Xenopus tropicalis: one gene and its partners. The protein of the gene in region 1 purifies or fractionates together with the protein of each later gene. This does not show direct contact. Links are inferred from orthologs where the notes say so. Each region holds a gene or a part of one and is shown on either strand. Other genes may lie near its edges. The genes, in order: chuk, pias1 and map3k7.

What was found.
Region 2: the proteins of chuk (region 1) and pias1 purify together in Homo sapiens (affinity purification with western blotting; 3 studies listed by BioGRID). This does not show direct contact. The link is inferred for Xenopus tropicalis from reciprocal best matches to the Homo sapiens genes CHUK and PIAS1.
Region 3: the proteins of chuk (region 1) and map3k7 purify together in Homo sapiens (affinity purification with western blotting; 9 studies listed by BioGRID and IntAct, with this or other methods). This does not show direct contact. The link is inferred for Xenopus tropicalis from reciprocal best matches to the Homo sapiens genes CHUK and MAP3K7.

The regions. Positions count from the first base shown.
Region 1 is NC_030683.2:110,589,876-110,593,927, reverse strand, and holds the start of chuk (inhibitor of nuclear factor kappa-B kinase subunit alpha), read left to right. Parts: upstream 1-1,211; 5' UTR 1,212-1,250; intron 1,251-4,052.
Region 2 is NC_030679.2:117,659,217-117,663,506, forward strand, and holds the start of pias1 (E3 SUMO-protein ligase PIAS1), read left to right. Parts: upstream 1-1,482; 5' UTR 1,483-1,561; coding exon 1,562-1,585; intron 1,586-1,608; exon of another isoform or gene 1,609-1,726; intron 1,727-2,201; exon of another isoform or gene 2,202-2,342; intron 2,343-4,290. UniProt on the Homo sapiens protein: Functions as an E3-type small ubiquitin-like modifier (SUMO) ligase, stabilizing the interaction between UBE2I and the substrate, and as a SUMO-tethering factor. Catalyzes sumoylation of various proteins, such as CEBPB, MRE11, MTA1, PTK2 and PML.
Region 3 is NC_030681.2:84,978,609-84,982,806, forward strand, and holds the start of map3k7 (mitogen-activated protein kinase kinase kinase 7), read left to right. Parts: upstream 1-1,379; 5' UTR 1,380-1,607; coding exon 1,608-1,694; intron 1,695-4,198. UniProt on the Homo sapiens protein: Serine/threonine kinase which acts as an essential component of the MAP kinase signal transduction pathway. Plays an important role in the cascades of cellular responses evoked by changes in the environment.

The DNA of each region.
Region 1 (4,052 bases):
CCAAACTGGTGGTTACACTTCTCTACTAACCTTATCTCTCATTCCCATCTCATATTTATTTAGAGAAGCTTCCCCTCATTTAGTATAGCAGAACTTACTGAGTGCTACTGAATACCCTATGCTACATCTCTCATCTTGCTGACTTCTGATCTTGCCCATTCCCACACCTTGATCTTGCCCATTCCCACACCTTGATCTTGTCCATTCCCACACCTTGATCTTGCCCATTCCCACACCTTGATCTTGCCCATTCCCACACCTTGATCTTGCCCATTCCCACACCTTGATATTGCCCATTCCCACACCTTGATCTTGCCCATTCCCATACTTTGATCTTGCCCATTCCCACACCTTGATCTTGACCATTCCCACACCTTGATCTTTCCCATTCCCACACCTTGATCTTGCCCATTCCCACACCTTGATCTTGCCCATTCCCACACTTTGATCTTGCCCATTCCCACACCTTGATCTTTCCCATTCCCACACCTTGATCTTGCCCATTCCCACACTTTGATCTTGCCCATTCCCACACTTTGATCTTGCCCATTCCCACACCTTGATCTTGCCCATTCCCACACCTTGATCTTGTCCATTCCCACACCTTGATCTTGCCCATTCCCACACTTTGATCTTTCCAATTCCCACACCTTGATCTTGCCCATTCCCACACCTTGATCTTGACCATTCCCACACCTTGATCTTTCCCATTCCCACACCTTGATCTTGCCCATTCCCACACCTTGATCTTGCCCATTCCCACAACTTGATGTTGCCCATTCCCACACCTTGATCTTGCCCATTCCCACAACTTGATGTTGCCCATTCCCACAACCCTTTCTTCTTTTAAATTGGAAGCTCTTTTGGGCAGGGCCCTCTTCACCTCTTGTATCGGTTATTGGTTGCTTTGTATGTAAGTCTGTATGCCCAATGTATTGTACAGCGCTGCGGAATATGTTGGCGCTTTATACATATAAGTTAATAATTATAATCTAATTTATTCCTTTTATTTAGACAATCTAATGTGATATTTGGATCCTTTACATATAAATACCATTAGAGGGTGCTAAAGGTACAAAGGACTCCTGTGAGGAAGCCAGGAGAGCTGTGAGTGGCGAGGCTAGAGGTGAGCATTAGGACCCAGCAGGCACCTGGAGGAAAGTCACATGGGCGGAAGTGAAGCAAAATAGTGAATCAAAGAGGGACTGAGGAAGAGTAAAACAACAACACAGGACACTTCCCTACTCCAAGTAAGTTGTGTAAATGCATGTGGGGGTGAATTTACACTATGGGCTGTGTGTGATTTTGTTTTAGAGGGAGCACAAGTGGCGGAACAGAACTTGTTATACCCCCCTGCCCTTAGTCTCTGGCTCATCCAGACGTCTGTGTGTCACGTATAAATGGAACGAGTTCCTTCAGAACTGTAAACATGACAAAACTCGCCATCATGCAATTCTGCCTTATTGAATAGGTGACTAGTGGTTTAAAGGACGTCAATTCAAAAAAAGAATTCTATGGGGGGGTTTAGGGCCCACCGGGGCTACCACCCCAGGGGCCCCACACCCCCAAGGTGCTCTTCCAGCTGCGCCCCCCCTAACCCCACGCAGGGGCCCCGCCACCTGCCTGACATCCTCCCCTGAATGTGTGTAAGTGAAATGCGTCAGGGGAGGACACCGGCGGCCGGGGGAGCGGTAACAGGCAGGGTCAGACTGGGCCGCCGGGACACCGGGAAAAATCCCGGTGGGCCCCGGCCCTAGAGGGCCCCAGCGGCCCAGTCCGACCTTTGCCAGCGCTCCCCCTACTGACTGTTCCTCCCCGACGCGTTCAATTTATATGCGCTCTCGGAGGACATCAGGCGGGGGCCCTGCGGGGGGGGTTAGGGGGGCCCCTGGGGGGGGGTTAGGGGACACGGCTGGGGCACCTGCAGGGCCCCTGGGTAACAGGGATTGGGTCTGGGCCGCTGGAGCCCACCGGGTTTTTTCCTGGGAATCCCATTCCGACCCTGATTCTTTGCCTAATAAGCGAAGACATAATTCTAAGCAACTTCACAATATACATTCATACAAATTTGTATATATTATTGCTGTTAAAACAATGTGTTACATTAATAGTGTTACATTGTTTTGATGCAATATAACACAAGCCAGCTGACTGTGCAACATTGAGTCTAGGAAGGTTTTTAAACAGGAGTTAAGCAAATGCAAACCCTAAAAACATTCATTTTTAGGCTTTAGTTCTCCTTTAAAGCACTACAATTATTAAATAAATTTATATTGAAAAGTTAGCAAAATTTCATTTTTTTTGGTTGACTTTTAAAGGGGTTAAATGGATTTGGGTAACTGAGTTCAGAGTACAGGTATCAGACCCCTTATCTGGAAACCCATTACCCAGAAAGTTCCGAATTACGGAAAGGCCATCTCCCATAGACTCCATTGTATTCCTTTTTCTCTGTAGTAATAACAGTACCTGTACTTGATCCCAACTAAGATATAATTACCCCTTATTGGGGGCAGAACAGCCCTATTGGGTTTATTTAATGGTTAAATGATTCCCTTTTCTCTGTAATAATAAAACAGTACCTGTACTTGATCCCAACTAAGATATAATTACCCCTTATTGGGGGCAGAACAGCCCTATTGGGTTTATTTAATGGTTAAATGATTCCCTTTTCTCTGTAATAATAAAACAGTACCTGTACTTGATCCCAACTAAGATATAATTACCCCTTATTGGGGGCAGAACAGCCCTATTGGGTTTATTTAATGGTTAAATGATTCCCTTTTCTCTGTAATAATAAAACAGTAGCTGTACTTGATCCCAACTAAGATATAATTAATCCTTATTGGGGGCAAAACAATCCTATTGGGTTTAATTACTGTTTAAATAATTTTTTTTAGTAGACTTAAGGTAGGAGATCCATATTAAGGAATGACCCCTTATCCGGAAAACCCCAGGTCCTGAGCATTCTGGAATGTATAGTATGCAGTGCATTCTAGCCTGCTCCAAAATGGTTGTTGGCATGAAATGAGGCACCATAATGGGCATCCTAGCAATTAAGCCTTTTATATATGTGTAAATATAGTAACAGTGGTGTCCAAGAGGTTAAATGATTTGAGCCAGGCTGTATGCTATGCAGGGCATCCCTGCCTGTCAATCTATACTTTGATATCTGGGACACAATTATCAAAGTATAGATTGACAGGCAGGGATGCCCTGCATAGCATACATCTTATTTCAGCCTGGCTCAAACTGCGGCATAGAGGCGGGGCAGGCAATATATGATTGACAGCTCAGATTTTTAAATATATTTATAACGGGTATGAATGATTTATTTTAAAAAAAGGGTTGGGTTTCATGTTTAATTTTGAAAGAACTTTTATTATACAGCTTTTTATGACTGGGTGACAGGTCCCCTTTAAAACACAAGTTACTAGTATAAACAGGCAAAATATCCATACTCCCCACCTAAATGCCACTTTTCATTCCCAAAACCATTCCAGGTTGAAAAGATATGAATATAATGCAGGTCATCCCTGTCTGTGCATATACATTGAAATCAGTGGGCCAAAGTCATTTAACCCTTTAAATCATTAGTTATTCATCGGACCATATTAGAAACTAATGCCACTTTTCCTGCACAGAACTGTTACAGGCAAGGGTAGAACAAGATACATAGTATGTGGGGGATCCCTGCCTGCCAATCTACCTGTGGCCCAAGGTCATTTAACCTTTTCAACCAGCCCATTACTTATTCAGAAAGCCAGAATTGCAAAGATGCCCACTTTGGAGCCACTTATCCTTTCCAGAATCCTTTCGGGCCAGGCCAGAACAGGGTGAATACAATATGAGGAATCACTGCCTGAAAATAGTTTTAAATCAGCAGCCCAAAGGCATTAAACACCCTCAGCACCCCTGTTACTTATTCAAATCGGCATATCTTGGGCCAGGCTGGAAAGTGGTGCATACAATGCACCCTGCCTGCAAATATATAGGTTTATAGCAGTAGCTCAAACTTATTTAACCCCTTTAGCACATGTTACTTATTCAAATAG
Region 2 (4,290 bases), on another chromosome or scaffold:
ATGGGTAATATCCCTGCAGTGAACACCAACCATTTGTTTTCTTTTGGTATGCTGCCACCATTAATGTAGATATGGTCTTTAAAGCCCTTGTGATAACATGGGTGTGGTTTAAAAAAGGGAGTGGTCAAAATTTGCTTCCAATATCGGCCCTCCACCATGTAGGCCAAAAAAATTCCAGCCCTCAGTACCACGGAAGTTGGATAGCACTGACCTAACAAACATCCACAGGTTCAGCCTGCTTTGATTCATTGTGTGTAATTTAATAAGATATATAGGAACCTGGAATAGACACAGGGCTTGAGGAGGGTAGTGTTGTGCCTACACATGCAAATGACTGTAGTGGATCACACCTTAATGCATGTGCAGTGTAGCGGTACAATAAAAAGTACCTAGGTCCAGTGCATTTTTTAGAGAAGAAGAACACTGGCCATGGGGTCCTAGGTTAGAGTTACTGGTGGGTGACCAGTTTTTTTACCCCCCAGTCAGTTTGGCTTTCTTGTCTTTCAAGGCTTGGGGCACACTGGCATATTGTCTGCTGTTGCAGAAGTGTTTGATCATTTCCATTTGTCTTGTCTATAGCAGAGACAGACAGATTTTGTCTAGAAACAATTTTCTGGTCAAGCTCTGCCTGCAACCAGCAGTTCCATTCAATATCTATGAACTGAGTGACGGGCAGAATGGTCACAATCTAACCAGTGAGGAATAAACCCCTGTGCCATAGGCCAATTGGTGTGTCTGGGCAAGCCGACAAGCCACACAGGCTCCAGCTTGTACAGTGTATATATCTAACAACAATAGCTATTAGTGGGAGGAAGGACTACCAGAGAGGTAATAGAGGCACTTGGACACAATTAATGTGTGTCACCAATTGTGACAATGAGCAATGAGTGGCTTTTTTGGTGCTTCTACTGAGGCAAAATCTAGCAACACACCTTCTCCCAGGAGGCACCTATGTTAAAGAACTGTAAGCAATGATGGACAAAATTTTTTAATACGTCAGCCTTCAAGTTAAAATAAGACAAAAATGTCTCACTTTTGCTTTGGAGGACTCGTATTGTGTAAACTCCCTAAACGCGATGCTTGGGCCTGATACAGGAACACAGGATGGGGTATATTAATCATGTTATGCAAAAAGTGGAGTGATGCATTACCTGTGATGTTGCCCAGGGCAACCAATCAGCTATTAGATTTCAAGTTTCAAGAACACCAAAGCAAAACATCTCAATGGCTGCTATGAGCAACATCACCAGTAATGATTCACTCCACTTTTTACACAGCATGATAAATATAAGTATAGTCTATTCCACCAATCTACCTAGCCTTTGTGTTACCGACAGCACTTAGGCTAGCTATAGGACCGCAACACTTTCCCCGCAAAAAGAGGGGCTAATGTGAGCCGCACCGTATCCCCTCTTCTTCCCCACCCGAATGCAGCACCGCTCTTATACAACTCGCAGCTTATGCAATTGGCGCCTTTTTTCGAATCCTGCGTAGTGACGCAACGAGTCGCGTCCGAGCCACGTCGCGGCGGGTTCATTACGCCTGCGCGCAAAGCAGCAAGATGGCGGACAGTGCGGAACTGAAGGTAAAGCGCAGCTGGAATTGCGGGACCGGGATTGCGGTCTCCGCTATGTATTGGCAATTGGGAGGTCGGGTGTGTTGAAGCGAATGGCCGGGGGAACTCGCAGAAGCGGCTCCCGGAAGCAGAGGGAGTTATGTTGCATGTGTAAGGCAGAGGGGCCCTTGTTATTGTTGGTGCTGCCCGGGTGGAGGGGGCTGGTGAGGGCATGTTGGTTAGGCTGGTAGGAGGGCGAGGGTCCTGATGCACACACGGAGCGAGGGAATGTGAGCGGCGGCAGCCCGGGCAGGGCGCACGGTAGGGGCTGCTGGGAGCTCTCCCAAGGGATGAGTGAGAGGAAGATGCTCCTACTTGGTACTTGGTCTCTTTAATAAGCGATGTTGCGCGTCTCCTGTTGCTGCCCGACCCCCCAATCCATCACTACTGACAAGCGGCTGTCAGGGGATGTGCGATACTTTAATGAAAGGAAGTTTCTGCGCCGTGTGGACTTTATTCCGCTTCATTCGGGGATCTGTCGGCTCCAGGATACTTTATCGCACACAGTCCTGCCCGCTAAGCCCGGCGTAATGACGGGGGGGGGGGGGCTGTCAGGGTTGCCAAGCAACAGTTCTCATTTAATAACATTTCTCGGGGATGGATTCCTATCTTGTGCTGACAAATAAGCAGCGTTTATTCGGGATCTTAAAAACGTTTGGCTTGATGTTCACTTTGCAGAGTCCCGGGTTGAGCTGCTTGTTTCGGCTGATTCATACAGAGATCTGGGGTGCGTGTGAGGTGCTTCTATTTCTTATAAAATTGCTGTTTATTTTACGTTTATTTTACATGTCCCTATCTCCTGTCACCATGCTCAGGGATCCTCTGTGCCTGCTACCCTTCCGCTAACTCCCCTCCCCCACTCGCCTCCCCTCCCCCACCCTTCCTCTGCATGGCCCTGTCTCTCTCCCCAGACATCATGTTGCTCTGCTGATTGATAGGAAGTGATAGTACCTGGTGGGCTTGCATCCCTTGTAGAGCTGATAGAGGGGCTTCACAGAATGCTTTCTCCTCCAAGTTTCCCCTCTATGCATTGGGCACCGCTTGCAGCAAACTTTCTTCCTGCTGTACCATCTTCTCTTAACTGGGAGCCTGTGTGCTGTCTGATAAACACACAGATGTGCTGTACCGTAACTTGCATCTCTCAAAAATCCACTGTATTGGGATTCGGCTGATCCCCCAAATATTTCATGAAAGAATACTAAACCGAATCCTAACTTGCCTATGAAAATGAAGGCACAGAAGGTGTAAAAACAACCGCACGTGGTGAAAAATGTTCAACTTCAGCTTTTATATGGTGAAAAGTCACATAATTTGAAGGATTTGTTTTAGCCAGGCCCACAGATTCGGCTCAATCTTGAAGAAAAAGCCGGAATCTTGGCCGAATCTGGAACCAAATCCTGGATTCTGTGCATCCCTAGTCTGAGGCAAGGAGTTGTCATTTTATTGACTTTGGTATATCAAGGCTATGCATTAGTACTGTTGTACTATAGTAAGTGCTTAAGAATAGCCTGTTGCACCTGTATATATTCAGTGTACTTTGTAATTTTAATTGTGTAATTCATATATTTATACATTGTAATGTATGCATTTTAGATTGTGAGATATTGTAAGATATAACAGGCAGAGCCTTCTTTACCTAATGAATCAGTCAGTAATTGTGTGATTAATGTGTATACCCTCTCCAGACAGGAGTGAGCTGCATTGAAGCACACAGACCCACAGTATAATCCAATTGCTGGCCTGTCAGGCTGCTTTGATACTATGAATCAGTGGGCAAATTTGGCAGGCTATGTTCTGCTCTGTATCTGAAAGCCTGACAGGCTAAAGCTGAGCAAAGAATGGGGTTTGTTTACACAGAAGGCTTTCCAGTGGTGTGCTGACTTGTTTTGATTGTGCATGTAGGTATCAGGAATTAGAACACGCTTTTCATTTTTAAATTTTGCCCTGTGTAGCGTAGGAATATAAGATGATGGTATTTGCTGCCCCTTTTGAATGCATGGCTAGTTTTTATACTTTTCTCTGCAATTTAAGATGGCCATGATGACATTGAGGTGGACAATATCAGGCTGATAGCTTGGCCCTCGGCCCAACAATTGGGTCATAATTGTCACCATGTAGGCAGTCGAATAGAGGACCCAGTCAACCCACAGATGTGGCCTTCAATCCTATGGGGAAATCAAACCTACCTGATTGACATATTGCCTGATTTTTGTCCAGATATCGGTTGAGTAGGCCCTGTCGTGGGGACCCCATACATGGGTGGATAAGCTGCTTATCCTGCTTGTCTGCTAAATTGGTGGGCATTAACTGGCATGATTCTACCATTTGAGGACACGATGTATGCTGCAATGTTTGGTCTGACCAAGCTAATAACTTTCATTAACCTCTATAGCTGTGCATGGAAAGCTCGCATACAAGTAATTATGTGCAAGTACTAAGTAGGGCCTGATTCTGACTGCAGTTCTGCCTCTGAAACAATAACATGACTAATATACTGGTGCTTATAAACAATCTGACATAAGTAGATGAATATATGCAGGAGGACTTAGGTATTGTTGTTCTAAACATTAAGAAATGCCTTGTGCATACTTGAGGAATTAGTTACAATGAGGAAATGAAGCATGGGCATAGTGACTATTCATCAGATGCTCATGGCACTAACATCATATTGTAAT
Region 3 (4,198 bases), on another chromosome or scaffold:
GAGCAGCCATATTGTGTGTTAGACTTGAAAGAATAAAAGTCTGCTGGGCTGCCAGGAAGGAATCAGTCCTCTGTGGTATCTCTAGTGTGTGTCCCCTGCTGTGAACAGGTATTGTTCGTTTGCCTGCTACGTGGGAGCAGCCACCTTTATAAAGGGAAGGTACTCTGGGGCAGGTAGCGCTACCTGGGGGGACTAAAGAGCTCTTGGGGAAGGGACTGAACTAACCTAAGGGTTGTGGTTTATCCGGATCCAAGTGGGGATTGGGCATCTATAGAGACTGTCGGTGCCAGCTGTGGATAAACTACATGGGTTCCTCAGAGCAGGAAAATCAGTTGTACATAAAGTGTTAACTTCCAACTCCAACAGTTATATAAAGTTTAACATTTCTGCCAAACCTGTGTGTGATTATTTCCTAGTGGAAATCCCCTAGAGGTGTGTTCCTCAGTGTCCACTAGGTGGAGGCACTGCGCTGTTCCCAGTTCCCAGTATCAATATTCTTTGAGAACACACATCTCCTGAAAATACAGCCATATATAAGTGAATGTGCCAAGAAAGGGTTACACATACATACCTGTTCTCACCAGGGGACACACACGGAGATTCCACAGAGGACTTTGTAATCCCTGGCAGCCCTGCAGACTCTTCTTTTTTCAGTCTCAACTCACAACATGTGGTACGGGCTGCTCACTCTATATCTCTCCTCCAAAAACTGGCAAAACACCTTTATCAACTGCTGCCCCCCCCTTGATTTTTGGCTCCAAACTGGGGCATCCAGCCAGCACTTGCCTGAGGCTGGAGATCTCCCTATAAAGTTAAAGGGAAAACCCAGCTTCTGCACAATTGTGTCAGATTTGTGACAAAATGTGCATACAGTTGTGGGAATTTTGTCACATCAAATGTAGTTGTGTAGGCGCAATAGTGATTGCAATTCAGTGGAAAAGGCTGCATTGTGGGGAAAAAATGCACTCAGAATTCCACTTTGTTTACTGCACTTGCCTATAAGAGTATATTTCTATACTTTCACTATTGGTTATAAATTAAGAGCAGGCACTGAGAAATGATTTCTGGAAGTTTTAAAAACCTAACAACACTTCCAGAGACAATTTATTTCGGAGGGCAGATAGTACCGTCATATAAGACAGCAAAACGTAAACAAAACAGCAGAGCAAAAAAAAAAAAGACTATATTGTAGAAAGAATTTTCATTTTGTCATGTCAATAAAGTTGTATAAAAAAACTATCTTTCCGAACACGCCTCACTTTGCTTCTGTGCAAGACGACATCACGAAGCCCCGCCCTGCTTTCGCCGCCGCTCTGCATTAGGCCTGCGCTTCTTCGCCTCTACCTGTATGGTCGGATCGGAAGTTGGCCAGCGCATCAGCGGCTACAGTAGTAGCAAGAGAGCCCTCCCCTCTTCCACCACAGGCCCTGGCTCCAAGCAGGCTAGGCCCAGCAGCCCAGAAGGGGGTTACCTGGTCCTTGATGGGCCGGGGCCGCCCGTCACGTACAAGTATTACGGTGGCTCCTGTTAAACCCGCTCTGTTTTCCCCAGCTGTGTACCCCGGCTTCCGCCGGTGGGGTCCCCGATTTCTCTTGTAAGGGCACGGCATGTCTGCCGCCTCTGCTGACATGATTGAGACTCCACCGGTGCTAAACTTTGAGGAGATCGACTACAAGGAGATAGAGGTGGAAGAGGTGAGCCTGCGGGGTGACACGGGCAAATGGGCTAAAGGCAGATCTCCAACCTGCAGCTTTTCATTAACATATAACTTCTAGCAGTTGCTGCCAGTAGTTGCACTTTACTGACCGCAGGTTGGACTTTCCCCGCTTATTGTTTGTAAATATTTAGTCCTATTCATTCTTTGCCAGAGAAAGTTCTATGGAGACAAATCTAGTAGTAAAGACACCCTTAAAGGGGAAGTTCACTTGTAAAGCAGCTATTAGGTTTTTCCTGGCTGGCCTATTCTCGGCAACTATTCAATTGATTATTTCTAATTTATATGTTTTATGGTTTTTTTTAATGATTCCCCCTCCTATCATTGCCATTTTACATGTTGCAATTTGAAAATGTCAGTTTTTTGGGGGACACTGTCCCTCCCCCAATTATATAGCTGATACTTGTCTTTGGCTTGTCTTTGTTTAGAGTTTCTTTCCTTTTCATCTTTCTGACTTTCCAACCACTGCCTGGTTCAAGGTAAACATTCTAAGTTGGATAGCTGCAGAGCAAAATGTGAAATAATTAAAAAAAAACAAAAAAACAAAAGAAATAACTAAAGAACAGTAGCAAACTGTCATAACATTCAGGTGAATTGCTTCTTGAAAGACTGCGTTTGTCCCAGACAACATATCTGTACATTTGCCGCTGATATGAGGCATCAGAGGTGACAGGTAGCCCATCCATTTTTTGTATGATTTATTTCATATATTTCCCAATGGCTTGCACATTCCATGCATCTCCATAGTGGTACAAACTTTGCTTGGAAACCTCTTTTTCTATTGGTTTCATCTGTAATATTAATGCGATAGCAAAACAGATTAATTCATAGTTTGTCAAAGAATTTTGTTTTTAAATTATCAGAAAACACAATGAAAAGACACTTGTGAAGCACCAGTTTTATGTAGTTGTTTTTATTCTTACCGCTGATGCATGTGTTTGAAGTATGACCATATTTATAGCCAAAAATATTGGGTAGGCATGTTTTCTGGTTGTAGTCACATGGGTGTCGTGCCGTACTCATGGTGATTCCTGTTGAATGTAAAGGGGAAGTGATGTTCCTCTAAATTATGTTAATTTACCCCAAATCTTGTCACATTAGTCTTATTGACGTTTTGCTTTTGTGTATATGCCATTTTCAAGCAAAGGCCAATTGGATATTCTTACGGTGGCCATGCACGAGTAGATTTTAGCTGCAGATTCGGGTCCTTTAGAATGATTCAGCAGCTTATCTGCCCATGTATGGGCACGCCTGCCAGGCCTACCTGACTACATCGTCAGATCCGCCACACACCCATCAGAGCTGAAACAGCAGATAAGGAGGAAGAAACAATAGGATTTCTACCTCCTTCTGCCGATTCAGCCCTGACGGCAGATTTTGGTCAGGCGCCTTCTATGGCGCCCGATCAAATTTTTTTAACCGGTCCGATCGGCGAGTCGACCGATATTAGCAGTTTCCTGCGATATTGGTCGACTCGCCGACATGCCATACACGCACTGAATATAGTACGAAAAGAGGTTTCGTACGATAGTATCGGTGCGTGTATGGCCAGCTTTAGATCTGCCCTAAAATTAACCAGATCTTGGTCAGATAGGTTTGATTTTATGACTTATAAGGGACTGCATCATTTGGTCCAAACTTGCCCACCTAACGAGAAGATCCACTCGTTTGGCGAACTCTCCAAACAAGCAGATCTTAAAGTGTGTGGCTGCCTCAACTCAACATTGTGAAAGTTCATCAATCTGGAATCGGTGAAGGATTGTTGTCTGATCCAAATTCCCTTGTACAGGAACATGCAGTATATTTTCCTGTAGAACCATGGGACTTGATAGCATAGGTTAGGTTTAATGAAACCATCAGGGTGAAGACAGACAGAGAAACTAGTCGCTGCGATTTTAAAAATCCAGTCTAGGTGACTTATTGGCCGCCACAAAAGTCTTGGATTTCTTACTGTTGCATGCTATTATGATATCTACTGGGAGCTGATATCTTGCTCCCTTCCCATTGTTCTGCTGATTGACTGCTGTGGGAGATTAATATCGCTCCAACTTGCAGTGCAGCAGTAAAGTGTGATTGAAGTTTTTCAGAGCACAGGTGACATGGCTGTGGCACCCTGGGAAATGAAGGATATGGCTAGCCCCATGTGAAATTTCAAAATTAAATATAAAAATCTGTGTATTTGAAAAATGGATTTTAATGCAGGATTCTGCTTCTCTCTGGAGAAGCTCCATTAACTCATGTGTTTTGGAAAAAAAAACATGGTTTTCCATGACAGTATCCCTTTTAAGGTGCATTTTGCTGGCAGTGCCTCTTCTCATTCTATGTACTGTTAGGGCAAAGACACACGGAGCTGCTTAGTAGCAGCTACTTGCGACGGCTAGAAAACTCCAGAAAATACCCTGCCACAGACAAAACTTGAGAATTGCCTCTACACATGTAGAGACAATTACCAGTAAATGATCAGCATTGTCAATTTTTGTAGCC